Caenorhabditis elegans: one gene and its partners. The main gene of each other region encodes a partner of the protein of the gene in region 3 in a complex. Each region holds a gene or a part of one and is shown on either strand. Other genes may lie near its edges.

Region 1 (10,301 bases), about 13 Mb from region 3:
AAATGGACATAGAAAAACGCTCTTTTTGGGAATCAAACCCAAATTTAAGCTTCCTCCGTCTTCATCTCTTCCTTCATACGCATTTCCACGTATTCCCCTTCATCCATAGACTTGAACTGCTTTAGGACCTCCTCAATAATATTATATTGATGTGAAACTTCTTCTCTGAACTTTTTCACATCCAGATTTCCCTTTGCTTTGAACTTATAAATTGCATGGTCCAGGACCACAATAGACTTTTCCGCTTTTTTGACGAGTGGCACATTCCACGCGTGTTCGGGAATTTTCAGCTTCTCGAGGTCTTGATAGAATTTGTAGTAGAGCTGGCAGAGTCTGCGGAGCGTGATGTAGCATTGCTGGAATTTTTGGATTATTTTTAGATTTCTCGAATTTTGCGAAAATTTTAAAATTGGAGTTTCAGAAACTGTTTCCAAAAAAATTTTATTTTTTAAATTTTTTTGTAAATTTAAAATTTTCAGAAAACTCTAAATGGTCAAATTTGATAAGTTGAATTTTTAGAATGTTCCCCATTTTTGAAAATTTTGAAAATAATTTTCAAGTTTCCACAAAATAAAGGCATTTTCAATTCAGTTTTATTTTCAACAAAAGTTTGACTAGCGGGCCCTGCGGGCCCGACAGTTGTAGGGGATGTAAGGCGAGTCCCCTTGCCGGGCGTAGGCTCTCGACTTCGCCTCGAACCTGTTAGAGGGTTCGTGCAAATTGCAGTGGGTCAAGGGAGTCTTCTTGATTTTTGAGTTCGGTTTGACCAAAAACAGACGCACCCGATGAATCAGTTAAAGCTGAGTTTTGATTGATTGAAGTTTGAGGAGGATTTAGATGGGGGGAGACGTACCCAAATTTTGTATAAAATCGAGTATTTCTATATAATATTCGAATCCCGAATACTCAAAAAAAAACAAAAAAGTTTGTCAGTTGGTAGAATTGAACCAACTACCAAAATATCCGCAGACATACGCACTAACCACCCGGCCATGCGGGAGAAATCTCAAACTGGAAGTAAGGAAGGTAAATTTCTGGAGGGAGTCGTCTTTCGATTCCGCTTTCTTCAATTATAACTATTTGGGGAAAGACGTTCGAAAACCGTTTATCACTGATAAGTCAGCGGAAAACCTAATTTTTGAAAATTTTATTACAGCATTGTACTCATTATTGATTTCCCAAAAAGGAGACGTACAGTTGAGGGCTATATCTTGTACACAGACAGATGTATAGAAAAAAACAAGTTTTGGCCTGAAAATTAATAAAATGAATATCTCTTGGCAGAGTATTTCTAATGCGACGAAACTTCATCTTCCATTAAATAAAATCAAAAACTATGAATCAAAAATACATTCCGCAAAACTTTAGTGGAAAAAATGTTCAGGAGACCCAGGAAACCACTCCCCCCAGTACTAAATTTTTGAATTATTTTTTTCTTGAAAAATTTTCCCACTGAACTTTTTACAAATTTTATATGTCTCGATGCGTCTTGATGAGACCTACACGTCATTTTTTAGAAAACTAAGAAAAATTGAAAACTGACCGAGTTATGATTGAAAAAGTAGATTCGCAAAAATGGCAAAGTGTGCAAAATTTGGCACTTATTCGTCTTGCTCGGCCGACTCATAGAACTTTTTCCAATTCTGAGTTAAAAATCGTGTTCAGCGTACTTTTGTACGTGGGGTAAACAAAAAAAATATCAAAAAAGATGAAGTAGAACTTGAGATAAAGACGAAAAACTACTTTTTCGGAAAAAAATTTTTTTTTGGCAAAATGTCATTTTTTGGCCATTTGTTTTATCACAACTTTTTTCCATTTGCACTTATAATCTCAAACTTTTTTTCAAAAAATCCACCTCTCTGAGTAGTATCTTGCACATAAATTTGGAACAAAACCGAGCAAAACCCGAATTTTAATTCAATTAAAACATGGTTTTTTGGGGGTAAAAAGAACAACAAAAATTTTTTTCAAACTGGGGAAAGCCGCCCTGAGCTCAGTTTTGCTCCAAACTTTGTGCAGTTTTTTGCTCCACCGTGGGGCAAAATATTTCTAGTAAGCTGTCAAATATTATAAAATTCAGTCAAACGGCTCTGGAGTTATTAATGAAAACGTAGTGTGACATTTTTTCGCAAGCCAAAAAAAACGCGAAAAAACGCGAAAAAGGGGCGGAGTCTGTACACTCGGCATTTATTAGAGGCTGCTTGGCAGAATTTCTAAACAAAAACCTTTAAAAAATCAATATTACATTCCAACTAACCCGTATCTTGTGATTCATTGAGGCTTCGGTCTGCTTCTCCCTCTCAATTCTAGCCAAACATGTTTTCATAGCCTTGCATTCAGCGAATATACTTTTCATAGTGTCTTTCATGGCGAATCTTGCGTAGGATTCGAACGTGTCGAATATATTCTCCCCAACACGGATCTGGAAAGCTACAAAAAATTCGAAGACAAAAAACTATTTTTTTCTTTTAATTCGACACTTAACTGATGAAGGAGGGCGTTGTCAGAGTCCCATTTCGGTTTGATCTACGCAGATCTACAAAAATGCGGGAGTTGAGACGCAGAGTTCTAAAATGATTTCGCATGGTCAGGAACGTGCTGACGTCACATTTTTCTGGGCGAAAAATTCCCGCATTTTTTGTAGATCAAACCGTAATGGGACAGCCTGGCACCATGTGTGGTAGGCTTGGTGTAGGCATAGCATTAAAATCATAAAAAATCATCTCACCTCGGTAATCTCATCCAAGTCATTGTAGTCGAACTCTACACCCATAAATTTGCACAAATGCTTCTTGGTAACCGAATTTTGGAGCAAACGATACTCTCGCCGTCCCAGAATACTTGTAACCAATCCCATCGCAGAAAATCGAGTGAAAATGAGAAAAAAAAAGTGAAGTCGACCAAATTTTATATGCGCCTCTAATTGTTTTTCTCAGAATTTGGCAGGGGGTGTCGTATATGAATTTGGATACTGTACAAAATTGGGTGAAAAATTATAAATATGCCGTTTTTGTGCATCTTCTAATTGTTATTGTCTACATGACTAGAAATTGTGATGAATAGAAAAAAAAGGGAACAATTTAATAATAATTCAGATTTTTAAAGGGTTATATGTATATCTTCCTAATAGTAAGTTCATTTTAATATATCATTTTTATAAATTAAAGTTATTCGACGCAAAAAACGGCGAAAATCGAGGCTTAAACTGCAAAAACAATTATTCGAAATGCTCTGTGACGTCACAAAATTTCAAAAAATATTTTCACGCTTTTCTGGCGCAGTAGAGCGATGGGACAGTCTGGCGCCACATGTCGGTGAACATTGGGTTACTGTAGCTCCAAAAGTATGTAAGTACTGTGGCAACACCAAATTTGACGACAAAATGCTGAAAATTTGTAAAATCACCAATGACGCTAAATTAGAATTTCGTATCGAAAATTTAAAAAAAATCAAATTTTGTAAAATTCCACCATAAAAAAAAATTAAATTCAAAATTTTTTGGACCAAATCTTTTTTCCTTAAAACGCGCCCAAACCTGGCTAAACTGCAATTATCAGTAGAGCGCGTTTACACTGATGTACCCTTTGCCGGGCCGTGTTTCAGCTAAATTCTGCTTTCTTTGTTAATAGAGCGCATTTGCTGTAAGCGGGAAATTTGAAATTCCCTCTTGAAAATATGACTTTTTTAATCATTTTTTCGCGGTGTTTTCGAGCTTTTCTTTCGAAAAATCCCGGATTTTCAATTGAAAAGGAGATTTTCTACTGAAAATGACTGGTATACTCCGATTTTTTACATTTTTCACGAGTTGAAAAGTTTACAGTCATTTATGAAAATTCAGTGTTCAAAAAGTGTCTCAAAAACCTATTCAGCTACTCAATATCCCAGTAATTCCACGTCATTATACAATTTATATCATAAAATAAATTCAAATCAAATATATGTTCAAGTGGAGGAGGAGAAGGAAAGTACTCGGATTTTTGGTGGGATGCCAACTGGTTGGAAACGTATGTAAATGTGAAATGCTACAGGAACACCGAGAACAAAATATGTGTGTGGGTCACGGAAAGCTGCTAGATAACGGGGAGAAATGACGACGATATGGTGAATAGGAGAGAGAAAATTGGAATACCCAAAAAACAAATAGACACAGGAAAACAGGGGAAAATTTGATAAAATCGACCGAAAATTAGGAAAAAAAACGACAAAAATTTGAGAAAATCAACCGAAGTTTAGCAAGAATTTTCCCAATTTTCAGGCAAAATTTCCACCGAAAAGCAGTTATTCCTCATCAGTGACATCGGAATCTTCATCGTCTGATTCATGTTTCATAAGCTTCCACACATCCTGCGGTGGACGCAAAAAGCCAATCACAACAGACACGTTGTCGGCACTTCCAGCCTCAATCGCTTTTGTACAGATGAAACGGGAGAGCTCCGCGTAGTCTGAAAAAATTTTTTTTCGATTTTTAAAGAATTTTCTACATTAAAAAATAAAGTAACGTCGGCTAATGTTTTTTACCTTAAAAATAATTTTGAATGGTTTTTTTAAAAATTGATTTTTTCAAATTTTAGTAAATTACCCGATTTTCTTTTTTAAAAATACAATAATTCGAAAATCTTTACTTTTTTTTTTGAAAACCCCCGAAAAATAGCCAATCTTCTGATTTTTTTTCAGAAAAAAAAAACGAAAAAATAGTTTTTGGCTTTGGAAATTTAGTTTTTCTCCAAGAATTTTTATTAACCTTCAACAGGATAATCATTCGCAAATGCCTCCACCAACTGGTACAGGTCACGCTCGTTGAAAACATCAGAAATTCCATCACAAGCCAGGAGCACCAGATAATCCGAGCTTTCAATAGGCACCTGACACGTTTCCGGTTCATTAGAGATCATCGGCCGTCCAGGAACATCTCCGAGTGCTCGGGTGAGATTTAGAACTCCGTTCACCCGCAATTCGCCTCCAATCACAAAAAGCTGGCCGCCAGCTTCCTCAACACGCCGAGCTTCCCGTTCATCGGATGGCGAGTGTCCACGTGTCAACTGACGGAATTCAATGTTCGACATGACGTATCCGGGTGAGTCACCGAGCCACGCCAGCGCCATAAGCTTCTGATCCATGTCGATTGCACAGCAGACAGCTGTACTTCCACCCTTCCAACACTCTTTCACACTTCTGACAGTCATTCGTTCGTCGAGAAGCTCCAGCGACTTGCGAAGCTGATCTTCGAGGCTATCTGAAGGATCTCGCGATTTTCGAACCTCCAACCATGTCTCCCAAAGGTGCCCGGCTGCGTACTGAGAGCACTCGTGACCACCGTGACCATCGAACACCGCTAACACCGAAATTGGATCCTAAAAATTTCATTTTTCAGTAATTTTCCAGGCCTAAAATCCTCCTAAACCTCTCCACGATCCATATATTGCCCATTAGGATACGCCAAAAACCGATCTTCTTGCTTGTGACGTTGCCCTTTCAGTTGATCGCCCGACACGTGGATTCCAGACCACTTTTCAGACAGAATCGGGCACGTTTCGGCGTTTTGCTGGAGAATCTTGTCGATCGCCGGCCAAATTTTGTCGTTGAATAGCTTTTTGGCTTCTGAAAATAAGTTGTATTGATGAACAGAAGTGTTGAGTTTTTGAAGATTTTTTAAAAATTCTATTTAACAAGTTTTATTTTTGCAAAAATTAGCAGATCAATGGGGAATGGCCAGCTAAAAATATTTAGCAGACCAATGAGGATAGGTCTGCTAAATATTTAGCAGACTCATGGTAGGTATGCTAAATATTTAGCAGACCCATAGGTGGTCTGCTAAATAATTAGCAGACCCATAGTTGGTCTGCTAAATAATTAGCAGACCAATGGGGATGGGTCTGCTAAATATTTAGCAGACCCAAGTTAGGTATGCTAAATATTTAGCAGACCAATGGGGATAGGCCTGCTGAATATTTAGCAGGCCCATGCTTGGTCTGCTAAATTAATAGCAGATTTTGCACATTTAATAATTACCTGTGGTACTATCGGTAACATAAATATCAGGATTATACTGAACATCTCTGAACGCAACTTCACTGAATTTCTCGTCAATTTCTGTGGCGATCAAGTGAGACACCCAGTGACAAAAGTCGACCGCCTGGCCTCTTTTCATCATTTTCTGGAAAATGTCGTGAATCGCGTCTCCGAAAACATCATGAACTGGTCCGGCGATTGGTGGATGACGGAAACGTATTGGAATATGCGGTTGTGGAGTGTCGGCAACCTCGACGTCATAGCTAGTTTTCTCCATTTCATCTGCAAATGCCTCCTCCAGAAGTGACCGGACACTTCGACGGCGATCGCCGATGTGATCCTGGAATATACATTTTTCTAACTAGCATTAAATATATAAAATCCCGTTTTCTACCTCGAAAACCGCATCCCGCTCCTCGTTTACTTTTTCCATGTATTTTTCCAGTTTTAAAACCACTACCGGCTTCGGTGGGACAGCTGGGTTGATCTGACATTTCAATAATTGTTTTTAACATAAAAATCAGAGAAAAACCGAGAAAAAACAATGGATTTCAACACAAAATGAGGAAAAATCAACAAAAAAATAATGCAGAATTTTCTGCACCAGAAACGCGCAAAGCTTCTCGTTTGCGCACTTTCGGTGCGTTGGCGCGTTTCTCGCGCGAAATATTAATTTAATTCGCATTGTATTGTATTAATAACATTTTTATCAAATCAAAAATGGATCAAAAATTTAAAATAAAAATCAATTATTCATATATATCCATGCGCGCCAAGATAATCCCACTCCACATTCGGCGTCTGTACTTGGCTGTCCAAAAGATCCCATTCCTTCACTTTCGCCCTCTCCGCCCAATTACATGCTTCATATTTGTGGATATATGTCTCCTTGAAATGCTCCCATAGCTCATTTGCCACGCGATACTGAAACTCCACGTGGCATCGGAATTCAGCGGGGTCGGCTCTAAGCTTGGGTAGCGAGTTGTAAGCTTGAACTGCGGCATTTTTTCTCAACTGGGCGTACTTATCGATTTTCCACGTGGTTAGTAAGAAGAAGTCCTTGTAAAGAATAAGAAGAGTATCGATGATTTCACCGGTTTCCTGGAAAAATCGCAGATTTTTCTTGAGTTAACTCAAACGCCATTGAAGGCCGCCTACCTCATCCTCAGCACCCAAATTCTGAAGTTCCCTGCATTTTCTCCGAATCTCGTACAACGTTTTTTTATACTTGTCGCGAACCTCGTTGTTCTCTACTTCAATGACTCGTTGTCCGGCGGGAAGCTGAATTCATTAATTCAGTTCTTGATAAATGTAATTTTGAAAAAAATATGTTTAAAAAACCTCGGCAACGTCAATTCTACCGTTATTCGAGAGGGTGATCGGTGTGCGCTTGTAGATTTCCTAAAAATTTATAAATTTGAGAAAATCCGTGCCCGTGATTAAGAATATTCTCACCTCAAAAATATCCGGTTTTTTGATAATCTCGTTACTTTTCGAGTAAAGTACACAGGGGCGTTCAACATTTTCCTCCTCGGGATTCACAGAGATTTTGACCTGAAAATTTCTTGAGCTTAGGTATAGGCATACGTTTAGGTATTGTCAAAGGCATAGACTTAGAAATTGGCATAGACTTAGGCGTAGGCTTTGGCTGAGGCCTAGGCTGAGTCTTAGGCTTTGGCTGAGTCTTAGGCTTAGGTGTGAGCTTAGTCTTAGGCTAACCTTTAGGCTTAAGCTTAGGTGTAGGCTTAGGTTTAGGCCTAGGCTTATGCGTAGGCTTAGGCTTGTGTCTCCAGGCATAGGCTTAGGTTTAGACTTAAGCTTAGATTTGTTTTTTTTTTCGAAGGTTTCTCAGCAAAAAAGATTGAAAACATAAGACTCTGAAAAAAAAACGAAAAATATTACCTTTGGGTCCCGTTCAGCAATACGTGGGCTCTCTTTCACCGCAACTGGGCCTGCCAGCTGATAGACGCTGGAAATATTATCTGTAGCTGAATCTACAGTGCACAGGGTTCCAAGACATTGCCCCATTATCGGTTGTGACAGGGAAATAGAGGATTACTTGGCGAAGGCTCAACTTGGTAGGCCGCCTAATTTACAGTACCCCACGACTGCCTTGTTTTCGACTAGTCCGGGTTATTTTTAAATTTTGTTGGAAAAACAACAAGAAAATTGTACAATTTCATGAATTTCGCTGGCCTGGTGAGTACTGTAAATTATGCAAAGTGATGGAAAATAAATATTGAACGAATTTTTTTCGAGCCGGGGAAACTTAGAGAATTAGTTTTCTAGCCTTCAAATCATGTTCCTGGGGTTTTTTTCCAAATTGTTTTTCTCAAAAATTTGTAAGATTAACACTTTTCATTTAAAAGCAATAATGATTTCTGAAAACCTGACACAAAAAGTTTTTGGTAACTGGGAAAAAACATGGGAACGTTGATGATAACAATTTGAGATCCAAAAAGAATTCTCGGGTGTGTGGAGGGGAAAAAAAGAAAAACACTCAAAAATGTCTGCACATTTTGAGTGCAAAAGAGCAAAAAAGCAACAAAAAAATAAAATTTTTAACATGAAATTTAAGAAATCTGCAATTCTCCTTCGACGACATCCTTCAAGCTGAGAATCTCCAATCTTCCGTGTCCCTTCGTCTCATTTCGGACCAAATCGTCCAAAGCTCTGAACGATCCGGGCTCAATGAGCCCAACCATCTCGAGGCTTCCATCCTGCCAATCGTCAACTTCCACGTCACTGAATAGGGTTTTAAGCTTCGTGTGCACGGATTTCGCTTCTTTTGTCGGAATCGCCACACGGATCTTCATCTTGGCTCGTTCGATTTTCAGAGTTTCACGAAGTTTTGGAATTGCGTCGAGAGCCTGCTGCTTTGAGGAACGATTCGGTTTCAGGGAAAAGTGCATTTCTTGTAGAGCTTTATCGATTACTGACGGTGGAACTGGACGCTTCGTTTCAGGATTTACGACCATTGAGGCAATCAGCTGGGATACCTGGAAAATTGAGATTTTTCAGGATTTTTTTGAAGAAAAATTAAAAATTTTCAGGAACTTGTTTGGGAGAAAATTAAGATTTTTTAGGAATTTTTAGAAAAAATTGGGATTTTTCAGGAATTTTTTTGGAGGAAAATTGAAATTTTTTAGGAATTTTTTAGGAATTTTTTAGAGGAAAATTGAGATTTTTCAGGAATTTTTTTGGATGAAAATTCACATTTTTCAAGAATTTTTTTATATAAAAATTGAGATTTTTAAAGGATTTTTTTTTTGGAGGAAAATTAAGATTTATCAGGAATTTTTTTTGAAGGAAAATTGAGATTTTTCAGGAATTTTTTGGATGAAAAATTACATTTTTCAGGAATTTTTTTGACGAAAATTGAGATTTTTCAGGATTTTTTTTGAAGAAAAATTGAGATTTTTCAGGATTTTTTTTGGAGGAAAATTTACATTTTTCAGGAGAAAAAAACTACCTAATTTTTTAAAAATTTAAAGAAAAAAACAGGTTTTTAGCCTGGAATCTAAAATTTTTTCATTTTTTGCTACGTGGCAAGTTGTACCTCTTTCAGCGATTGATCTGAAGCCGCCTGACGCTCTTTTTCCGACACTTGCAAGTCTCCTTTGTCGAGAATCTGAAATTTAGGAAATATTGTCTTTTTCTACCTATTTTGAATAAATTTATTCAACTTTTTAGATGACAAATAACACTAATTACACCAAATTTTAGGCCAAAATGTTTTTTAATCTGAAAAAAAAACTTTAAAATTTCTTTTTTTCCAGAAAATCCAAGTTTTCCTTACAATTTTACAAATTTCCAACTGATCCTCGATTCCAAAAGCGGCGATAAGCTCCTCTTTCTTGGAAAGTTGTCCTTTTGAGACATTTGAGAAGACTGTATGGGTTTGGAGCACCTCGTCAATGTCTTTTTCGCTGAAAATTTTTTTAGATTTTTGGGAAATTGTTTAAATTGATTTTTGATATGGTAAATATTAATTCCAAAAAATAATATTTGAACAAAATTATTCAAAAGGTTAATTTAGAAACAACTGTTTTTTTATTTATCACTGAGAAAATGGTTTGAGAATTAAAATTTTCAGATTTCTATATGATTTTTTTAAAAATTAATATATATTTTACCTCTTATTTCTCCAATTAACAACTTTATTCTTGTAACAAGCGATTTCAAATCGTTTTCCGGTTTTCTTCATTCGAACCACTGCCACATTGGTCAGAACTTTCTGATTTGTCGGCGTTTTGATATTTTTTGACATTTTTTTTCGGCTGAAATTTTAA
Region 2 (10,571 bases), on a different chromosome or scaffold from region 3:
AAGTGGAAAGGAAAAAATTAAAAAAGAAACTAAAAAGAGTCCACAGACAATGACACTTGATGAAGTTCAATTTGATGCTTCTTCCAATTTTAATATTCGACCGTAAGTTTGTCTTTTTCAACAGGCTTTATGTATTGTATATTTTAATATGTTTTAGTTTCAAATAATCCTTGAAATTCTCAACTTCAGAACCATGGCACCATCTCCAAATGTCCACACTGACAGTACTCAACCATCGAATCGTAAATCAACTGGATCTGATGATTCGAATATTGCAAATGCTCCAAACTCTTCACACTCGGAATGTGATCAAATTAATGAACGGGTTTTGAAACAGGTATTCACAATATTTTAAATTATAAATACATTTCTGAGTTTAAATTTAGATTGCTGGATGCAGAAATCTTGATGAAGATAGAACGGATGCTGGTGCATGTGATGCCATTTCTCCGCAAGACTCTGGAATGGATCTTCACGGTATTTCGAATGATTTTTTTGGGAAAATTCAAGATGTTCGTTATTCATTTTCACTTTTTGATGCAGAGACGTGATTTTTTAGATTATCCAAGCCCAACTTGGAGATTCTAATATTTTGGAAGCCACTTCCGATGAGAATCTTTCGGAAATGTCAATGGTTACAGAAAGTCTCATGTCTAGTTTAGCTGAAATTGAACCATCGTTTATTGAGACTGATGTTCAAGAAGCCTCGGAAACATCATCTCACTGTGAGCCAAACCTAGGAGCAAAGCAGACTGTTGGAAATGAGCAAGATGCTGATATTGTTATTGATGGTCAGTTCTTTTTTTCACCATAGAACGGTTTAGACAATTTGCTTTTGATTCATTGTCTTTTTTCCAGATTCACATTTATTTGCTGAATCTGAAAATGAATGCAGTGGAAGCATCCTTGTCAAAGGTGGACAACAGAAGGTGTTGTTCCGTTGGACAGACGAAAAACCGACTACTGTAGATTCCGTTACATTGACTGGTTCATTTTTTGGTTGGAATATGAACATTCCGATGAAAAGAAATGAATTGAAGATGTTCGAAGTTTGTATTGAATTGCCGGATGGAATGCATGATTACCTCATTAATGTCTACCGTTTTGATTAGTCCAATTTTTGTAATAAATGTTTTGTAAAAAATTTTAGTTTTCAAAAATGTTATTTACTTGAATAATACTTCATGACCCGGATGGATCATTTCCTTTGCATGTTGATGATTTCTCTTGAAAAAAGCAATTTCCAATTTATCATGCAATAAAAACATAATCTCGAATAATACTATAAAACTGGCTATTTTCAAATTTCCAAATTATTTCGAAATCATGGAGAGGCGATGGGACGGCGTCTGGTGAGCTTCATGTGGATTGGAGTGACCGGGCGAACGATGATCTCCATTTTTGGACGGACCTGAACAATTTTAGTTAAAATTTAATTTTTACATGTTATATTTTCAAAGTACCGTCGATTGGGGAATCCCCAATGGGGATAAAAAAGGCTAATTAAGCTTTTTTTATCCAAAAAATTGAAAACTATTGTAATTTATCTATTTCTTCGCTAGAATTTTCTCATTTTGCAATTAACAATTTCTTTCAAAAAAAAAACGTAATATGAAAAAGTTTACTTTTGTTGTGACTGAAAAAAATTTTACATTAGAAGAAACATTTTTTAAATTCAAAATAAAAAGTAAAACTTTCTATATTCTATTTTCAATAGTGCCTATTTATGAGAGCAATTTAAAATTGCAAAATGAAACATTTCAGCGAGAAAATAGACATCGCGATAATTTTCAATATATTGGATACAGCTTAAATTGCTTAATCATACAAAAAATGCAAGTCTCCCCAATCAGCGGCGCTTTCAATTTTCACCTCGTGCATCAACTCGACAGCTTTTATATTGAAATTTCTCAACAAATGAGCCATGATGACCTTCTCTTCCATAAGTGCAAAACGTTGACCGATGCAATTACGGCTTCCAGCTGAGAATGGGATAAAGGCGAATGATTTTCGACCAATTGAGTTTTCAGGATGGAAACGATCCGGATCGAAAACATCAGGATCCTTCCATTGAGCAGGATCGCGGTGAACAAGGTACAGGTTGAGCAGAAAAGTGACTCCTTTTGGAATATTAAAGCCTCCAATTACTTGATCATCACTCAGTTCTCTCGTAATAATTAAAACAGATGGAAAGAGACGCAGAGCTTCTTTCAATGCACATTCAAGATATTTCATTCTGGAGAGATGTTCAATAGTCACATCTTCATCGTCGCCCATTACTTCATCCAGTTCCGCTTGAACTTTTCTCTGAACGTCGGGATGATTTCCCAGAAGATGAACTGCCCACATTAATCCTGTAGATGTTGTATCGTGACCCTCTAACATGAATGTGTTACCTTCTGCTTGAACATCTGTTTCGTCCATTTGTCCACTGTTTACCATTTCGAGAAGAAGATCCAGGAATGCGAGACGACCTTCCATCTTATAATCATTCTCCTGTAGTGCTTATTTTCTCTCGCCAATCAATTTCTTCGTAAAATCATGGAAAATATGAAGACATTTTTCATGCGTCCGTCCGTCCTCTGTTCTAAAAATACAAATTAATTGACCTTATTAATGATAAAACTACCGTACAAATTGTAAATAAATGAATTCCACATCAAAGGATTATTTGTTCGCTTTGAAATCAGTTTATTGATTGTGTGCACTGCCCATACATACTCGTTATTCTGAAAAAGTATTTAGAAATGTTGAGATTAGAGTTGTTTTCCCAAACCTCAGCGAGTTGAGCGCCGATAGCTATTCCCATGGAAGTTTCGCAGATGATATCAAGAGTACAAAGGGCGATAACGGAGAGAACATCAACTCTTTCACTGAAAATAAACATTTGAAATAAGTAATTATAAATTGAAATTCTCACTCTGCACCAAGGCAACACAATTTCTGAACCAAAATCTTCAATAAAAGAAAATCAAAAAAAGACGCCATTGTTCTTTCTGGCTCGTCAAAATACTGATTCCAAGCCATGGTTCAAGCAAAACGTATGCGAACCCTGTTCAGATGTTTCGTCGACGAGAAAATTGCTTCAACAAGGTCGCCAGAGTAGAGCATCAGGCATGGGAATGGACCAATCCACAGAAGACACATTCGTGGATCTGGATATAAATATCCCATTCCAATCACTTGGTTCATGAATCCCTCTGGATCTGGCTTGGTGATGAGTCCGTGACCGATGATTGGGTATGATCGTGGCTGATTGAGATGCTGAAAATTTATTGAAGTTATTCATAAATTTATTTTGAAATCAAACCTTCAAAGCTTGACGCATTCTCAAGTGTTTGTAGAGCAGCCAAGCGATCACCGTCGCCGAAGCCAGAAGTACAGCGAGGATGATAACCCCCATGCATATGATGAATAAAAAAATATTAAATAAAATAAATGTTTATTTTCATAAAAACTGGACAAATTTCATATATGGACTTATCGGAACAAAAAGAAAGAAATAATAATAAACCAAAAAATTTGAAAATCTATGATAAAACCTTTCAGATAACTTCTCCACAGTCGGTGATGACGCAAGCCTTGGAACCCTTCGTGTTTGATTTATTGAAGGCGATGCGGGAGACAACTTCGGTTCCAGCCAAAACTTTACCAAATGCCACGGTTTTTCCATTCATCGATTCATATGGAAGAATCGAGATGTTGAACAACGAGCTGTTATTGTCTTCTTTCAATCAATTTTCCTGAAAAAAAAAGCTGATTTCAGATGCGGATATTCATGAAATAAAAAAGCAGATGAATAAAAATAAATAAATTCCCATTTCAGTCTCTCAATTTAGAAATGCTGAAAAACTGACCATCGGCAATATTCCCGGATTTTGATGCATTTCAAGATACTTTTCATTTTTGAAATTCTTTTCGGCAAAAAACGTATGGGTCAAACATTAGCCAAATAAATATTCTGAAAAGTTAGTTTTTGATAGCATCTTTTAAGCTGGATTTTGTCAATTTATAAAACTTTTAGATGCCTAAACATCACTTACAAGATTGAAAGCCCAATGAAAAAAACTAATGTTCAAATGAGTTAGCAATGGAGCGCGTTTACGTTCTTTGCGCGAGCTTCGAATTTTTCTGCTTTTATTTTCAGAAAAAAACACTTTCTGAAGTTTTTCAGTTTTCCTTCAATTTGTTATATCTGGTTTCATGCATTTTTTAATCGTAAGAAAATTTCATATTCATTTTAGTTTATCGAAATAAGAATTACTGTTTTAAAAATTAAACAGAATTGAGAAAACCACAAACTAAGCGCCCTGTGTTATTTTTTAACCAAAATTTCTCAGATTTTAAAAGATATTCTGAATTGATGCGAAGTAATCGTGTTTCTCTAAATTATATTCTCAGTTATTCTAAAAATTCCCCTCCTCTTCTCACATGCTCTTTTCCTAATTCTCAATGCAATTTTTCACAATTTATATTATATTCACAACCAAAACTATATTACTAATCGAAAATTGCAGACGCTGTCCGAACAGTTGTAGGAGTGGTGTCGGGCGACGTCAACGTCTCGAAACAGAACCAGGACTGCGAACGCGGAGAATTTTGTCTGCACTCTCTCCGAAGAGAGTGCAGAGAAAACCAGAAACGGGTAGTAGACCACCCAGTCGGTTAACTACGGTGGATTGGAAGAAGTGACCAGCAAGAAATTTCAATGTAAAAATAAGAGAGATTTCCATTTATTTCAATTGTAACTGTAATGGAGGTGGATCCGGGTTCAGATGATGTAGAAGCTGACAGAGAAACGAGAGCTCAGAAACTAAAATTAAAGTAAGTTAAATTTTTTAATGTTTTTTTTTGTTGAAATTGTTTTAAATTCTTTAATTCACATCCAGTCAAACTAAAATGATCAAAAACTAGGTTTTCAGAAGAAATGTCAAATTCCGTGCACAAATGAGAAGATTCGACGAGTACTGTGGAGTGACTAATTTAACAGTAGATGATCTCAATTGGCCTTTAATATCTGGAATTCCTTTACAAAGACAACGATTGACAGGAGCTACGTATTATGATGATAGTCTTCTCGATCAAAATCCTTGGGATGAATTTTCAATTGATCGATTTCTTGAAATTACTTCAATTCAATTAATAACAGCCGGTGCTGGATATGAAAGGAATGATGAAATTACTCGATTCGTTTTTCAAAGAACAATGAAGACAATTGTAACTTATTGCAATTTTATGTATGATTTGGCAAGGCGGAACGGGAAAGTGTGAGGCGAATCTGAAATTTTATAAAATAAAATTTTAATTTTCAGTCAAATAACTCGATTCGAGTTGCAAGATTTGATTCATCGCGATGAATTTCGGTTTTACATGTATTTTCGACAATTTTTAGTGAGTTTCCTTGTTTTATCATAAATTAAAACAAGCTCTACTTACCCGATTTTTTTTTCGATTTTTGAACCAAAAAAGGGATATCCGACTCGACACGACAATTTTTAGTTAAATAAAAACGGGTGTGTGCCTTTAATAAGTACTGTAATTTTAAACTTTCGTCGCTGCGGAATTTTCTTAGTTTTTCGGAAAATTGTTTTAATTAAAAAACTAAAATTACGCAATTACCAAAAAAAAACAGGGATTTTAAGAAATCAGGAAAACATGTAAAAACCGGTGAAAATTTAACAAAAACAAAATCTTGAAATTCCAGTACTCTTCAACGGCGCATTTCCGTTTGTATTTTACTTTTTTTAAAATCCTAATTCCAGCCCAATCCGGATCCGAATTGTACGGCCTTTTCCAATCACTACACGTCTCTTCTTCATACACTCTATTTCAATATTCCGGGAATGCCACAGTTTTGGAACAATTCCCAAATGTATAATTACGCTGCTACCCGTGGTCAACGCCTTGTTCAAAATATCGCCGCTTTTTATCCACCCGAATATTTTTGGAACGAAGATGAATCCAAGTATCATACTACGTTTGTGGTTCCACGTGGCACAGAGTTCTCAAAGTTTTATGCTCGAAGATTTCATGAAGCACTTGGAATGCCACCACTGGAAAATGAGATTATTACGGTTTTGGATTGGCTTGCGAAGCTCTGCATTTTGGAAGTAAGCATTTTAAAAATGTTATTTATGTACTCATATATTAATTTAAAGCTTTTAAGCGTTAAAAACTATTTTACATTTGTAGATTGTATATCACACAACGATTTGGTGCGACATAACTGGATTTGGAGGGCTTCCACGTATTGAGCACTATCGTTTAGCCATGGAGAATGTTGGTAGGAATTTATTGTTAAAATAATTTAAAAGTATATACATGACATGTTTTTCAAAATATAAAACACAATTTTTTTAAAGCGAAACTTTAAAAAATCATCAAAAGTCGAATAGCGTAAAGGGAATTTTTGTTTTCATAGTCGCAAATTTCTAAATTCTACAACAGAAAGACAAAAAATCGACATAAAAAATCCATCGTTTGAAAACATGCTTTTTCGATTTTGGCATTTTTTTGTATTGAATTCAAACCCGGATGTTAGCAAAAATTTTTAAAAAATCACGTTTTCGGTATTACTAAATTCTCCACATTTAAAAAGAGTCCATTCTGAAACTTTTTCGATTAAAAAATTTCTTTCACAACTATGTTTTGTTCTAATTTCAGAAGACATCATATTCGACTTGGCAATTGATGATTTCTCAATTTCCCGTCTACAGTTACAAATTTCGCCGTTTGAAATCTCTCGCTACTCACCTCTAGATGTATCTGGTTATTATGAAACAATTAAAAGAAAAAAAGATATTGAAGAATATCAAAATCGTTTCTATGAAGTTCATTATTCTGATGATGTTCGGATTATGAATGTTTATGCTACTGATTGCTCCAGGAAACGATGATATCAATTGTTATAATGATTTGCTTTTAATTTTAATATTATTTCATTTGAAAGTCTAACTCTCTATATTTTACCCAGATTTCCTATTTAATATCACCGATTTGCCTTCTATCTCACTAACGCTTCTTGTGTCATTCACTTTCGAATCCTCTGGTTTACATTTTGAAAAATGTCATAATGGTACACTGCTAAAAAAAGCTGGTTCCATATCACTTTAATTTGTTTTAAGATTTGTTTAATTTAAAATAAAGGTATAGATAATATCGATTAAGCTGCTTACAATTGGTTAGACGCTACGCAAGTGCGCTCTGGTAGACAAACAATAGCATCTGTTGAGTGCGCAGTTGGTTTACACTCATTCAAATGTGTACGGGTGTGGCATTCGAAACATTTCGAATGAAACACTAAGAGTTCCAGTTGCTTTTACGAGTTTTTGTGTAATTTTCAGTTGATTTAACGTTTATTGCTCATTGCTAGAAGCCGAACTACAAAAAACCCACTATTTGGCAATTAGTCTACTACGACTCAATTGGTAAAATATTTCGAAAGTTATATTTTTCCAATATAACCATCAATTTCATAATGTAGCATCTTTCCTTCAATTTTTAATATTTTTTTGTCATTCTGAATAAAAAAGTACAAAAGTCATGCTGAAAAGGATACATATCGATACAATTCCACATGAATATAATTTGAATTTCTATTCAACTGATATACATTACACATATTCGCGTGTGCTAGAAAACTCGTATTTTCCCATTCGATACATCATCTGCCAACTTTCTTAACAATCCCAAGATCGTCACCCTTTCCTCCACAGCACCAGTCCCGCCTTTTTAACAACGATCTGTTTTTAATGGATGCTCGATCTATATGCATTAATTCATTCTATCATTCATTTACCGAGATGGTCATAACATATTTCATTTATTTATGGTTTTTTTTGCTTTTCCAATGTATTATAGTTATATGAAATTCTCTGTAGTTCTAAAGTAAGTCGCATTTTACCAATCTTTTGTATATATTTTTAAAGCTTTGCTAAACTAAGAAAAATTATACAGGCTAGATTTTTCTAAACTTTATAATTTACAATCTTTAAATTTTGATGTCCAAGTTCCTCTTGATAAGAATCGAGCACTTTATAAAGAAACTACGAATTTAATAATCAATCTTCAACAACTCCCCCAAATTGGTAATTTCTGTGTTTTATTTTTTGATGTCACCTACCTATTCTAATTAAAATAATACTATCTCTGCCAATTTGATAAACGACCTTTCCCATCTTCTCCGAAGTTCCAAGTAGCCATCTCCAGATACTCCATCCACCTAGTCTATCGATTGAAAAGTCTTCACTTCCAAACGCTGCGTTTACCTATTTCCCCATTCTCAGAGAATATCCCACACAGAGTCAATCATTCATTCCGCCGACTTGGTCTCTTTTCCATTTCATTATTTTAATTTATGTACAACAATAGTCAATTGACTATATTAGTTCTCTTATTGCCATTTGCTCACCCTCTTTCAATGTTACATCTCAGCTTTCTACATTCATTGCCTTCAATCAATTATTTATGAATCAAATTTCAGAGAACTTCTATCAAAATGGCTCGTGCTATTGCTATCGATGCTCCACTTTCCGCTGGAATCAGAAGAACAAAGAAAAGTCCAATCAAAAGAGCATCAGTTGGTGGAGTTAAAAAGAGATTCTCCACTGGAACTGCTGGACCATCAAGAAGACCAACTGCGCAACCAAGACGCCAAAGTGGAGGAATCAGAACAGTTGACAGATCTATTCCAGCAAATGGTAAGTTATAAATGCCATTTTGCTCTTAAGTTATGGTTAACATTTCCAGAAAACCGTGAAGTACGTATCAACTTGTCAAACTTGGCCCACACCGTTCACTCCGGGGACCTTCGTCAACTCTTCGCTGAATTCAAAATTCGAAACGTCTCCGTGAACTTCAACGAGCACGGAAAACCAGTAGGAACCGGAGATGTGACTCTCCCAAAACGTCACGCTGATCGTCTCATCCAAAAGTTTGCCGGAGTCTCACTCGACGGAAAGGAGATCAAATTCGCTATCATTGATTCAGCAAATATTGCAAACCGTGTCAAGTTCCCAGAAGCTCCAAGAAGAGCTCCATCAAATGGAAGACCAGCTCAAAGAGCACCAAAAAGGCAGAATGTTAAATCAGGAAAACCAACAGGAGGGGCTGGAGCTCAAAAGAAATTGAAGGCCAAGAAGCCAAAGAGAGAAGCTCAACCAAAGAAGACACTCGAAGAGTTGGATGCGGAGCTCGATGTGTATATGTCAAAAGCCTAATAATTTAATTTAATCCAAATTTTACTTGTTTGTTCTCATGTTTTCATAACTTATAATTTTGTACCTAATAAAAACATCAAAAGCTAGAACACCCGTGTTTCGTGTATTTAAAAAGAAATCATATTGAACGGCGAACAAACGGTAAAGCTAAAATCTCCTCGTAAACAAAGTAATTTCATTATTATATTTGTTCAAAATTATTTTTAAAAAACATTAAAATGAATCAAACCAAAAAAGGAGGTGTCGATAGAAATATATTAGTTCCCATATCATCCCTTCGTCAGTCAAATGGAAATGCCCATTTCAATCGTTTTTAGGCGGTACGTGATCAAACACACACTGAAAAGAAGTGCCAATTAGGGATGCGAACGTTCATTTATTTATCTCTTTTGTCATTTGATGGTGCCCATAAAACTGTTTTCTTTCCGTTTCAAATGTGATTATTATGCTTCTTCTTCATTGCTTACTCTTGTTCTTTCATTTAAAAACTACAAATTTATAGTGAAATCATTCAAATTGTTTGCAAAAACAGAGCTCTGTCTCTCTATTTTTTCTTTGCAAATTTATTTTCATCATCCTGTTCCACTCTTTCTTCGTTTCCGCCGAGAAATCCACTTGACCCATAATCAATCATCAAAATACACTCGAGCGATCCTTTTTTTTGAGTTTTGATGAGATTTTGAACTTTCTTGAAATGGTTTTTATTTTTCTACTTTAGCATGTGTACTGTTCACATTAGATTTGGAGTAGCGACAGTGGGGAAATTTATAGCAAGAATATCAAAGAAAACACCTTTGGAATATTAAAAATACATTTTATTATAAGTCAAAAGTACGAACTATGAATACTCAATACTTTGAAATTTTTGAAAAACTAAAAAAAAAGACGTTTAAACGAAGTTTATTTTAAATTATTTTTAAAATAATTTTCCAGTGTAGATTAGAGTGTAAGGTAATGTAAGGGCGATCAGAAAACTCCAAATTTCAAAAATTTGTTAAGTTGCCAAAACTTTAAATCATAGTATTTTCAAATTGTTCATAGGGTTTTTGATTACGGTACTCTATCATTTCGGAGTGTATATTTTTTTAGTTCAAAAATATACTATTACAAGGAGAAAACATTACTCATATACTAAACGTTTGGTCTTTTCATTTTATACAATTACATCTTTCACAGTAGTTAAGCGTACTTTAAATTAATTAAAAACAATTGTTTACTCTATTAAAATGCTCTGAAACTCAGAAATTCTCCACAATTTCTTTGCCAGCTTTTACATCAACCTTAGAAATTATTCAGATTTTATTCATAAAGTTTCTAACGTGGATTAAGAAAGATGATATGGCCGTAACACTG
Region 3 (12,157 bases):
TTCAAAAATCTGAACAATCAGCGATTGGCTCCACCCATTTTCAAACCAATCAAGGTCTTTGCAAACGCATTGGTCATGAAGCTCCCATTTTGGAAAAAAAATCAAACAGGACAATTAGCCAAAATTGAAAATCCTACTTCTAAAAGTTGGCTTTAAATTCTTTCTCGATTTTTTTCGTCTTTTTTGGAGTTTTTGAATTTTGAATATTTTAAAGAAAAATCTTTAAAAAAGATACTGTTAAAAATAAGAATTAAACAAAAAATAAACAAACCATGCAACAGCTACAGTATGCCCATTTGGTCTCCATCGATGAATAATCGGTCCACTTCCGTGCTCTTCTTCGCCTCTTCGATATTGAAGCTGAGCAGAAACACATTTAAATACTTCCTGATTTTTTGTGAGAGTACACGGAATTACCTTTAATGACATTTATATGAATGAAGATCTCCGTTGTTTTCGACGTTTGCCACTGCTCCCCTATGATTTGTCACTTATGTCACGAGCCTACAAATAATGGTTACAAAAAATGAAGTACAAATCATTGAGCTACCCGAGCCTTTGGGGAGTTGTTGCCTTGGTAACCGGGCTACACAGTGTGTGTTGAGCACGCAAATTGAGGAAAGAACAGGGGAAGTGGAAGAGGGGATTTGATCATTCCCGGTTTGGGAATAATGACAATTAGTAGAATTTTCTGGATTCTCGAGAAAAAAAAACAAACCGCAATTTCATCTTTTTATGTGAATATCGAACAAAAATATTTGATAAAATTATTCATTTACACATCTGGGGCAAATACATTTGTAATGGGAGAGCATTACGGGTACACTAAATTTTGAGAAGTATCTCATAGCGAAAACTACAGTAGTTTTTTTAATTAGTACTGTAGCACTGCTCCGATTTTATTTTGGTTTTTGGCCATTTATTCCAAGTTTAGCCAAAAAATGCACAAAAATGCCAAAAGGGTATTCTTTTTTTTAATTTTTCAATATTAAAATTTTTAGAGAAAACTTTATAATCAAATTCCAAAACGACTCCACCTTTAATAACTTCAAATATTAATTTAATTTTAAATTTTAGACTTCAGAAAATTATTCTTAATTTTTGTTCTAAACAGATTTCCTTTTTAAAATCCTCCTTTTCTCACATGTCACATTTTTCATTGTCATTGCCAACTTCTAACATATGACGTTCAATATATTTTTAACGTTTGTTATCTCTTTTCAATATATCTTCTCTAAAAATCAAATTTCAGCTTCTCCACCATATCCCCGAAAATCTTCAGTGTAACCTCCACAGGAAACCGGTCCGAGGTTCACCGTCCACAGGCAAAACTGGCGTCGAATACACAGCCGACATCGAATCGTACGACACTTGGCCGCCGTAAGGCAATTTCTGACGACAATTTTCCCGTCGTTGAGCCGATATTGAAGAAAATGTGAGTGCGTCTGCTGCGCATCGATCGATATTATTTGGTTTATGACCCCTGGTTTCTCATTTTTCGGTTTGAATATTAAATAATTGAACGAATTAAAAAAAGAAAGAATAATTAAAATCACGTGATTCTTTTTATCAATTAAATTTTCGTGTTTAGTTTTTTAATCCGCATTTCAAAAATTTTCGCTTTTTCCGTAAAAATGGCAAGTTCCACAAAAGTTTCCTTACGGTACCCGTTATTTTTTTTTGAAAATTTCGCACAAATTGTCATCATTTTCAGTCGTCCACCTCGTCCACAGGTTATGTACTCACTGAAGCCAAAAGTTGTGGAATTTGACAAAGTATGGGTGCAGTTGAGACCATCTATCATTGATATCATCAATTTGCGGCCGATCACCAATGTTCAGTGGCATCACAAGTTTAGGTAAGTTTTGAAGGAAAAGTTTGATTTTTTCCAGTGATAGAAATTTCAGAAAGTATCATTTCTGTCATTCAACAGATTTTTCGAATTTTTAATTTGAAAAAAAAGATTTTTTGGGATTTTTTGTTCAAAAATGTCTTGATTTTTGGCCAATATCTAAAGTTTTTGTGCAAAAACTATTTATATATAAGGCAAAAATTACCTTTTTGTTATTAATCCGATTTTGTAAAAATGTTATGTTTTAAAAAATCAATTTTTGAAGTTATTTTCAGCAATCGCGTTGTTTGTAAGCAACAATCCTAAATTCGATTTTTGACAGAGAAAAAAAGTTTTTCGAGGATTTTGTCCACAAAATCCGAAAATTTTTTGACAAAACTATTTTTTTTTATTTCACGTGTATAATTCACTGAAAAACTCAATCATTATTCCAAGAATTGTAAAAAATTGCTCCAAAACACTAACATTCACTTATTTTCCGATTAATTCAGGATTATCCGAAAAATCGATTTAAAAAAACATTGTTGCAAAATCGGATTGATGATCTTATAACCTCTTAAACATACTTTTTAAAACCATTTTGGTAGTATTTTTTGAACAAAATCCATTTCTGGGAAAAAAACATGAGAATTTTTGAAAAAAAAAAAGATTTTTGTACTTTCCAAAGAAAAATGTCAAGAATCACAACTTTACGATACGAAAAGCTGGATTTTTATAAATTTTTAATTTTTTTAAATATTGTTTTCAGTGACGTCTACGACATTTGTGTATCGATACCGACTCCATTGAGCGAGCGATTGTATAATGAGGTATCTCGAATTTGACGTTTTCGACGAAAACCGAAAAAAAAAATTAAAATTCTACTTTTTTCTTCGGATTCTACTATAAAAAAGGATTTTCTAGCGAATTTGGTGATGAGACTACAAGATTTCCATTTTTACAGGTGAAGGCTTGCATTCAAGAGCATGTTCGACAAAAGCGTCAAGATATCGTCGATGTTGATCCGGATCTGTTGCTTCAGGAATATCACAAAATGTGGAGAGTTTTCCATGAGGGAGCCATCTTTATTCACCGTCTCTTTGGGTTCGTGTGAAATTTCTTCGGAATTCTTTTTAAAATTCAAACAATGATCTGAAAATGCTCCAAAATGCATTTTTGTGAAACGTTTTCACTGCGTCGTTGTAGAAGAAAAAGAATTGAAAAATACCCAAAAAAAAGAGAATTAAAAAAAAACATTATTTACAGATACCTGAACAAACAATTCGTAAAACAGAAGCGATGCACCGATTTGGACAATTTCGCGCAGTACGCCGCTTTTCTGCAGATTCCAGACGTCAAGGAGATCGGATGTGTGAGTTTGCGACAAAAAAATTGCGCCAGGTTTTTAGAAATTTCTTTATGTTTTCGACGAAAAAGTGGGTGGAAATAAAATCCTAGGCCACGGAGATGACTTCCGTGGCCGATGATTATCAGTTAAGACCACAGTGCGCTTTTTCAAAATTTTGTGTTCCTGGAAAATAACTATTAAATAATTGAGAAGTTTTGAACCAAAAAAACAAATCGAAATTTTCAGCTCGCACTAGAAATCTGGAAAGAAGACCTCGTGAAGACCATTCTCCCGCAGCTCGTCAAACTTCTGCTCATCGCGATTGACAATGATCGGAAAGGAAACTTCCCGCATATCGCCAATGAAGTCTCCGGCGTCATTAACAGCTTCGTTAAGATGGAGGAGACGGATTTCGACGTTGTACCGGCAGAAGGAGCACGCTATAAGGCTCGCGAGTCGACAACGGCGTTCTATCAGGAGAGCTTTGAGAAACCGCTTCTTACGGATACGGAACAGTACTATTCGGCGCTCGCACAAAAAATGCTCACCGACCTCAGCTGCAGTGAGTACATGGAACAGGTTATAGTGCTCCTCGAACAAGAAGAGATGCGTGCGAAGAAGTATCTCCACGAATCGTCGGTGGAGAAAGTTATCACGTTGTGCCAGAAAGTTATGATAAAAGCTCACAAGGATAAACTTCACGCAGTGTGCCATGATCTCATTACTAATGAGGAGAACAAGGACCTCCGCAACATGTACAGACTGTTGAAGCCCATTCAAGCGGGACTCTCGGTAATGGTTAAGGAGTTCGAGGAATATGTGAAGAAGAAGGGGCTCGAGGCGGTGTCGAGGCTCACCGGCGAGAATGTACCCCAGCAATTTGTGGAGAATGTGTTACGGGTGTATAACAAGTTCAATGATATGAAGACTGCTGTGTTCATGGACGATGGCGAGTTCTCTAGTGGACTCGACAAGGCGTTGCAGGGAGTCGTGAACTCGAAGGAGCCAGGACAGTCGGTGCCGAAGGCCAGTGAGCGGTTGGCGAGATATACGGATGGGTTGCTCAAAAAGTCCACGAAAGGACTATCGGAGACGGATTTGGAGGCGAAACTCGACAGTGCAATTGTGATTTTCCGCTATATAGAGGATAAGGATATATTCCAGAAGTTCTACTCGAAAATGCTCGCAAATCGGCTTATAGCAAGCACATCGATATCGATGGACGCCGAGGAGCTGATGATTAACAAGTTGAAACAGGCGTGTGGTTATGAATTCACCAGTAAACTGTCACGAATGTTCACCGATATCGGGCTTAGCCAGGAGCTATCGAACAACTTTGATAAGCACATTGCGGACATTAAAACTGTGCAGCCCGACGTGAAGTTTGTGCCGACACAGACGATGATTCTGCAGGCAGGTAGCTGGCCGCTCAACGCTCCACAGCTCTCTACGAATTCGAATAATCAGACCGCACAAGACGTGGCCAACTTCCATCTGCCACGTATCCTGCAGCCTGTGATTCAGGAGTTTGAGAAGTTCTACACTGGGAAGCACAACGGGCGAAAACTGACATGGCTTTTCAATATGTCACAGGGAGATGTCAGGCTTACATACCTCGATAAGCAGTATGTCGCACAGATGTATGTCTATCAGATGGCAGCGCTGCTTTGCTTTGAACGTCGCGATGCTATCCTCGTTAAGGACATCGGAGAGGAGATTGGTGTGAGCGGTGACTATCTGCTAAAGACGATTCGAACGATTTTGGACGTTACCCTGCTGACGTGTGATGATCAGAATCTAACGGCCGACTCGTTGGTTCGTCTGAACATGTCGATGACGTCGAAACGGATGAAGTTCCGGCTTCAGGCGCCACAAGTGAATAAGGCTGTCGAGAAGGAGCAGGAGGCCGTCGCGAATACTGTAGGGTTTTCAGTTTGTTTTTCATTGGCGAGGGCCTCAAGTTATGACTTTTTGAGTTCAAGCACTAAAAATCTGTATTTTATTTAGTCCTAGACTTTAAAAATTTTTAAACGATCTCAAAAACCAAGTTTTAAAATGAGACACCTTGAAAAATTCTCAGCATTTTTATGACGGTGGAAATTAAAACAAGCCAAGCTCAACTAAAATCTCAAATGCTGAAAAATCTTTAATAAAGAGTTTAGGTGTTTTTTCGAAATTTTAAACCTTCGTAAAATTTTTTTAAATGTCTCACTATGAAATTTGGTCTTTTGTGGAAACTTTGAGTCAATTCAATCAATTAAACAATTTATCTGCTCCCTTTTTGAGCCAATGAGCCTAAATCAAAGCTATAAACTGTGGCCTAGAATTCTGAGAGACTAGACGTATTTAGTTAGGCCCCGCCTCGATGCAGCTAGATTATCCAAACACGTGTGCCTCGCAATCGTCAATATTAGTTCCAGGTTTCACAAGACCGAAAGTACTATATGGAGTGCGCAATTGTCAGAATTATGAAGACCAGGAAGGTTCTGAAACACAATGCACTTGTCACTGAGGTTTGTTAGATTTTTGTTGTTGGTCAAAACCCTGTAAAACGAGATATTCAACCGACTGAAAATGCTTTACAAAAATATTTTTGTTTGAATTTTGAACCAAGAAACTGAAAATCAAAAAGTGGATTTTCCTCCAAAAAAGAAAAACAAACAATTTTAGAAACAGTTTTTGGTCCGGAACCCCCCAAAAAAAAGCGAAAAAAATCTTTTTGCAAAATGTGCTATTCCACATCAAAAATGCGGAAAACAACATTTTCTTGCAGATAATGGACCAAACGAAAGGCCGCTTCTCGCCCGACGTACCATTCATCAAAAAGAGCATTGAGGACCTTATCGAGAAAATGTATATTCAGCGAACCGATCAAAATGACGAGTATCAATATTTGGCCTAATTCTCTCCCCCTATTTGCGTGTTTTTTCCCTGAGAGGCAAAAAACTAAAATTTAAAATTTACACTGTGTAAATGACTCTGAAACATGCCATTCAAAATCCCCACTATAATTTTATTTTTCAAGATTTTCTAACAATGATTGCTTTTTTTCCAAATTGAACTGTACTGAAAGTAAATCCCCTCGCCCCTCATCTTACATATTTTATATCATTTTTTGCTGGAGCTGCGCAACGGGGAATCATCAAACTGTTTATTGGAATACCTATTTTTATACTTTTGGAGCCCTCAAAAACTGAAAATCGCGGGAAATTCTCTGTTACTCCCGACAAACGGCTATTTGCCTATAAAACCAACCAGTCCGTAGCCTCTCCTTGAAAATGTATATGTACTATATTTGTCTTTTTTTTGTGTTCTATCCTCCCTCCTCAAGCAACTATTTTTTCTCCGGAATCTCTATGATTACGATAAAGTAGACAATTATCCTTCCCAAAATTCCAATTTTGTTTCATTTAAATTTTCACGTTTTTGAACTTGAACTTTGATCCACGACACTCTTACGGCACGTGGCAAGTCATAATGGAAAATTTGAACGTCGGTAGTTTTAAATTTATTACTGCGAAAAGAATCGATCAGCGATGCCACGTGTCAAAGTGTTCTTCGATATCACGATTGGCGGAAAGAAGGGAGGACGCATCGTTATGGAGGTAAGGGGGGCAGCGTTAGGTTCTCGGAGCAAATATGATTACTGTAGGCGCTAGTGGTATGTCAGTTTGCACTTTAATGAGTATAAATTGAGAAAATCGATATAATTTTTTGTTGCCATTTATCGATTTTTGTCGTTCTGTTATCGGTTTTTAGGATGATTGTAAAATCTTTTTCAATGGTCTTGCAGAAATTTGCCAGTTTTTCGACTTTTCAGGAAGTTACTAGATTTTGGCAACATTTAAAAATCAATAAACTAAAGATTTTTAAAACCTGTCGTTGCAGCTCTACAACGACATCGTGCCGAAGACAGCGGAAAACTTCCGCGCTCTGTGCACCGGCGAGAAAGGAAAAGGGAAATCGGGCAAGAAGTTGCACTTTAAAGGATCCAAATTTCATCGCATCATCCCCGAGTTTATGATCCAGGGCGGCGATTTTACGGAGGGAAACGGCACCGGCGGAGAATCGATTCATGGCGAGAAGTTTGACGACGAGAACTTCAAGGAGAAGCATACCGGACCCGGAGTCTTGTCGATGGTGAAGATTCTGAAAAACTAAAAAATCGATATTATATTTACTCAAGTTATCGATTTTTCTGTTATTGTCGATATTTGATCAAATTTTCTTTGAAATTTTTGTGAATATCGGGCTTTCTGAAATTTTATGCGCTCTGGAATTGACTATTGATTTTTCAGGCAAACTGTGGGGCGAACACAAACGGCTCGCAATTCTTCCTGTGCACAGTCAAAACCACGTGGCTAGACGGAAAACACGTGGTTTTCGGCAAAGTGATCGAAGGAATGGATGTGGTGAAGGCGATCGAGTCGAAAGGATCCGAAGATGGGGCACCGTCGGCTCCGTGCGTCATTGCTGACTGCGGAGAAATGAAGTGATGCTTCTCGAAGAACAACACTGGAGAATTCGTCTTTTTATTGGATAAATATGATTTTTATTCATTTTTTTAACAAAGCATAGTTTTTGATACGTGAATTCGAAAGACAATGATTCGTGAAGTTTTTAATCGTATTTACAGTGGGGGGACCACTTTATATCTCTAAAGTTTATTAGAATTTTAAATATTATGTCTCAGCCTCAAAAGCTTTGTGATTTTATGGCAAACAAACTCCGGGGATGCAAGTTTGTGGAATTTTGACGGAGTCCCTCATACAAGGCTGCCGCGTGGATTTTTAGAGGGCTCTTTCAATTTTGAAGTCAAACTTTCACGTTTTCAGCAAACTCTAGTTTTATATCAATATATTTACTTCCACAAATCAGAGGCCCCCGAACTAACTTTCCATGAAGTCTCTTTGCTGAAATGTCAGTCGTTTTTTTGTTGCGTGAATTTTCTAGAAATTGCCCAGCCGCCTACACGAATTCCGTCAGAGATATAAAAGTAACAAAAAAAAGTTGAAAACCGCGTGGTGACGTATGTACAGTTCTCTCTGGATGCCTACGTCTCTTATCATCACCACCGCTATTTTCGGTCAAAAACTGAGAGGGAGAGAAAAAGAGAGGCAGATGGTCAATAAGAGACGCAGAGAAAGAGCAGTGATGACTCCCCCAATCAAGAGTGCTTACTGACTTTTTCCCCATAGTTTTATATAGCACTGTTTTTTCTTGCATTTCTTTCATTTTTGAGTAAATTGATTTGTAGCAAAAATACTTTGAAAATCGATAAAAATAAGCTTTAAAAAAATTTTACAGACGTTTTTCCTGTAAATAAACTTCGCCAGTGTCTTGGCTTTTCAAGAACCAATATAAATATGGACGAGTTCTTTTCTTATCTCTAACTGAGTGAATTGTAAAAAGGTATCGTTAGCAAGCTTTTTTTAAATCTGAAAACAGGCTCCGCTCAAATCTGCGGTACTATTACGAGAACAATAAATCATGAGAATGCGTACGTGGAGCATTTTATTTTTTTATATCGATATCACTTAGCGAAAACTACAGTAAGAACTCAAATAACTATTGTTATTTAAGTTCTTACTGTAGTCTTCGCTAAGAGATATGACAAATAAAATGCTCCACATACGCATTCTCATGATTTATTGTTCCCGTAATAACTGTATACAGCAAATCCTGTGTTTTTCTCAAAATAGGCTGCTCCCATTCATTGGCTTTTTAGTTTATAATCGGACACTTTGGATTTAGAAACTCAAAAAAACCAAGATGTGCGGATTGCTTGTCATTTAACTTGTCAACCTTACTATGTATTAGCCTAGTGTTTACAGCAGGCATGTGGGGCAAATCTGAAAATTGGCCGAGCAGGGCGAAATTGGCAAATTTGCCGTGCATTTTATGTTATTTTACTAAACTTTGGGAACAAAATCTATTGTTTTGCTCAAAATTGAACGCCGTGCCCGGCAAATTTGGCAAATTTGGCAAATTTGCCAAGATCGTCAAACGGCAAATGAGGCAAATTTTCCGCACAAAACTTTGTGTAAATACCATGTTTTTTATTTCAAAATATTCAAAAAAAATCAATTTTTTTGGCAAAGAAAACTATTGTTATGCCCAGGGGTACGTGTCAATTGCCGTACGGTAAACGAATTTTCGGCAATTGCTGAAATTGCCGATTTACGAAAATCAGAATTGCCCGAACTGTAAGTTTGAAACTTTTTATAGATGTAAGAGCCTAAACACGCATTTTACTGAACAATTATCTCTTTTCAAGCTCAAAATGATTTAATCTAATTGTAAGGATTGACAGTTTTGTTTTCGAAAATGACAAACCGAATACTAAAATACAAGGTGACATTTTTTTTTCAATTTCCGAAATATAACTAGTTTTGAAAATTGCCGAACATTTCTGATTGCCGCGCACACCTGGTTGTGTCGTTGAATTTTATTTAATAAATTTAAAGTTTTAAAAACTCTTCCAACAAATGTGTTGTCAAAAAAAAAGGTTCCTGGTCGATTGGATCGTTATCCGGGACAGTAAGTGTGTCTCGTGTTGTTCAGTGTCACTTTCATTTCTGTTTTTACTTTCTCCAGCAATTTCTTCACTTTCCATCTCCCTCCTCGAATTTCTCTTCTCATAAGCATTTCCCTTTTCCTATCAGGATTTTCGATTTTTTTAAACGAAATGCGAAAACTAATGGTGGTGGAGGTCCTGGAACTTCCCCGCTTTCATGGTATTTCTTCTTTCTACACTTTTAATCACGTTACTTTTTCTAGTAGTTGTACATATATTTTTGAAAAAAAAATTGCCGAAAATTTCCAATGATTTGGCAATTTTTTTTGAATTATCTATTGTTTGAATTTTAAAAATATATAACTTTTCTTTGAGTATTTTAATAATTATTGATTTTTCAACATTTTCATAATCTGGATTTTGTCGGTGTACCTAAATTTTATTTTCGACTGCATTACAATGTTTGTGGCATATGACGTTTGGAAATATTTTGAAAATTCGAGATCTTTTTTATTAAAAACTTGAAAAAAATTTGCATCAGTTTTCGAATCGGAAAACTTTTCCCCAAAGATTTCATTTTGCAAAACTATATAATAAAACTAATTTTTTGAATTTTCTCGATTTCTCCAACTTTGGCATTCACCGAGTTGTTTTTACTATTAGTTAAATCGGCAAAAGGCTTATTTTTTAAATATCTATTTCTCCTTTCTACAACCATTAAAAAATTTGCGAAATTACCATGGAAATACCGTACAAAATACCAGGGTCCCACGTTTGCGTTTTATAAACCTTTTCCAAGATTTCATATTTTTCCGACAATATTTTTGAGGCGCATATAAGAACTATTTCCATGGTGCATCAAAATGTGTTTTACACGTTTTTTTTTCAAATTTAAATGCAGATGGGCAAACTTCGCTTTAAAATTTGAAATATAAATATCTTACCTTAATTTTTGAAAAGTCAGAGTTTTAAGGAATTCTATTTTAAATTGGTATTACATGCTCCTTATAACTCCCTTTCACCCAAACATTTCGAATCTTTCAATTTAAAATCTAAAATCTATTCAAATTGGTTCGCTCACCTGTTTTCCATTTCTTATGCCAATTTCCATTTTTCTACCAAATTTATCATCCCCTCCCCACACATAAAATTTCACAAAATTTTTCAAAAACCTGGTCGCCAACCAAAATGTTTCATTTTCTACTATGAGTGTGCATGTTGTTCATTCATAAATTACACGCACATTTTCCCTTTCAGCCATCTGTTCCCAGACACCCCTTTCGTGTGGAGAATGGGGAGTTTGTAGGTAGAAATCGATGCAAAGCTACAGTTTTTTGCTATTTGGTTTTGAAAAAGTTGAAGAAAGCTCGGCCAGCGAATTTTTTTAACGGCCGCTTTGGAAAAGGAAATTTTTGGTGAAAATTCAAAGTTTAATTTTTCAGATTATCACTAGGTTGCATTACATCGGTTCAAATTTTTGTGAATTCAGAAAAAAACGATGTATGACGAAATTAATTTCTTTGACTGTTTTCACCCACATCTACTCAAAGTTTAAGTTAGCAGTGCATTTGATTTGAAATTCTTTCCAAATGCTTGGATTCCGATGCACCATGAGCAAAGCCATGCAACTTTAAAAAGCATCCAACAACAAAAGGAATTATAAAAATATGTTTGCAACGTATACGTATTTTAAGGTTATTCCCGTGGTTACCATGAGATATTATTTTAAAAGTTGCTCATAATCAAACATTTGGAAAAAAACTCCCGGAATAAAAAATTCTTTCTGCCAACGCTGCCAACATTGGCAACAAATTTAGTACTCGACAGTATGCCAAGTAATGCAAAGCTTAATTGCGTACGATTAAAAAGTTTCTCACTTCCCTGCACCATGTCGATGATCAATCAAAATCGAAATTTACCACGGGTTTTATGGCACATACAATCTCAACGTTATGAGGATCACAGACTTTATTAAATGTTACTTTGGTCGGATAATATGGCTATTTTTCTGAATCTGCCCAATATTTATACTTTTGGTAGCACATATTTTGAAATCCATATTGCGGTTACAGTTCTGTAAGTATGAGTATTTAACTCCCACATACCAAAGAATGCCCAAAGAAAATATCAACCCAAATTCGTACATACACACACAATATGTTGTTCCCATAACAGAAGCCTTCCCCTCCTCCTATCCCTATTTTTGCGCTCGCTTCCCGCGCCTCGGAGCTGCCGGACGCCACTGGACAGCACAACTGCTTTATTTTCTCTGCACCATCTTCTCGGAGCAAGCGGACGGACAAAGTAACGAAAGAGACGCAGAGTAAAAGATACGGCCCCCACTCCCTCCCCCCATGCTCTTGTTCTCGGGCGGCTCGGGACCCTCCATGTGGACACTCTCTATTTTCTACTGGAACTTTTTGGGAGGCCCCTGGCTATAGTCGAAAACTTTTCTGTATAC

The links.
Region 1: cul-2 (region 3) and fem-2 share a complex: the UniProt entries of both Caenorhabditis elegans proteins name them as parts of the CBC(fem-1) E3 ubiquitin-protein ligase complex.
Region 2: cul-2 (region 3) and fem-3 share a complex: the UniProt entries of both Caenorhabditis elegans proteins name them as parts of the E3 ubiquitin-protein ligase complex.

The regions. Positions count from the first base shown.
Region 1 is NC_003281.10:628,131-638,431, forward strand, and holds fem-2 (Protein phosphatase fem-2), read right to left. Parts: upstream 6,497-10,301; 5' UTR 6,443-6,496; coding exon 6,404-6,442; intron 6,350-6,403; coding exon 6,010-6,349; intron 5,599-6,009; coding exon 5,402-5,598; intron 5,352-5,401; coding exon 4,742-5,351; intron 4,443-4,741; coding exon 4,279-4,442; 3' UTR 3,889-4,278; downstream 1-3,888. Other genes in the region: T19C3.6 (uncharacterized protein), read right to left, coding at 45-356, 2,258-2,422, 2,729-2,857; eakr-4 (EAK-4 Related), read right to left, coding at 6,763-7,110, 7,168-7,290, 7,351-7,410, 7,465-7,563, 7,912-8,037; sbds-1 (Ribosome maturation protein SBDS), read right to left, coding at 8,583-9,008, 9,569-9,640, 9,809-9,938, 10,146-10,279. UniProt on the Caenorhabditis elegans protein: Dephosphorylates auto-phosphorylated Ca(2+)/calmodulin-dependent protein kinase unc-43/CAMKII in vitro. Involved in the regulation of sex determination.
Region 2 is NC_003282.8:9,100,449-9,111,019, forward strand, and holds fem-3 (Sex-determination protein fem-3), read left to right. Parts: upstream 1-4,517; 5' UTR 4,518-4,753; coding exon 4,754-4,824; intron 4,825-4,914; exon of another isoform or gene 4,915-4,922; coding exon 4,923-5,267; intron 5,268-5,312; coding exon 5,313-5,391; intron 5,392-5,762; coding exon 5,763-6,110; intron 6,111-6,192; coding exon 6,193-6,283; intron 6,284-6,663; coding exon 6,664-6,896; 3' UTR 6,897-7,159; downstream 7,160-10,571. Other genes in the region: gldi-10 (AMP-activated protein kinase glycogen-binding domain-containing protein), read left to right, coding at 1-102, 190-337, 387-512, 560-791, 859-1,112; C01F6.14 (Ovule protein), read right to left, coding at 3,449-3,673; aly-1 (Chromatin target of PRMT1 protein C-terminal domain-containing protein), read left to right, coding at 8,498-8,699, 8,749-9,218. UniProt on the Caenorhabditis elegans protein: Required for male development. In XO (male) animals, fem-3 directs male differentiation in all tissues. In XX (hermaphrodite) animals, it specifies the first 80 or so germ cells to be sperm. Negatively regulates male development when bound to tra-2.
Region 3 is NC_003281.10:13,686,017-13,698,173, forward strand, and holds cul-2 (Cullin-2), read left to right. Parts: upstream 1-1,634; coding exon 1,635-1,663; intron 1,664-1,714; coding exon 1,715-1,858; intron 1,859-2,600; coding exon 2,601-2,661; intron 2,662-2,795; coding exon 2,796-2,935; intron 2,936-3,097; coding exon 3,098-3,203; intron 3,204-3,425; coding exon 3,426-5,099; intron 5,100-5,593; coding exon of another isoform or gene 5,594-5,599; coding exon 5,600-5,692; intron 5,693-5,952; coding exon 5,953-6,081; downstream 6,082-12,157. Other genes in the region: WD repeat-containing protein dyf-2, read right to left, coding at 272-360, 418-429; cyn-2 (Peptidyl-prolyl cis-trans isomerase 2), read left to right, coding at 6,716-6,784, 7,068-7,319, 7,478-7,675. UniProt on the Caenorhabditis elegans protein: Core component of multiple cullin-RING-based CBC (Cul2-ElonginB-ElonginC) E3 ubiquitin-protein ligase complexes which mediate the ubiquitination and subsequent proteasomal degradation of target proteins.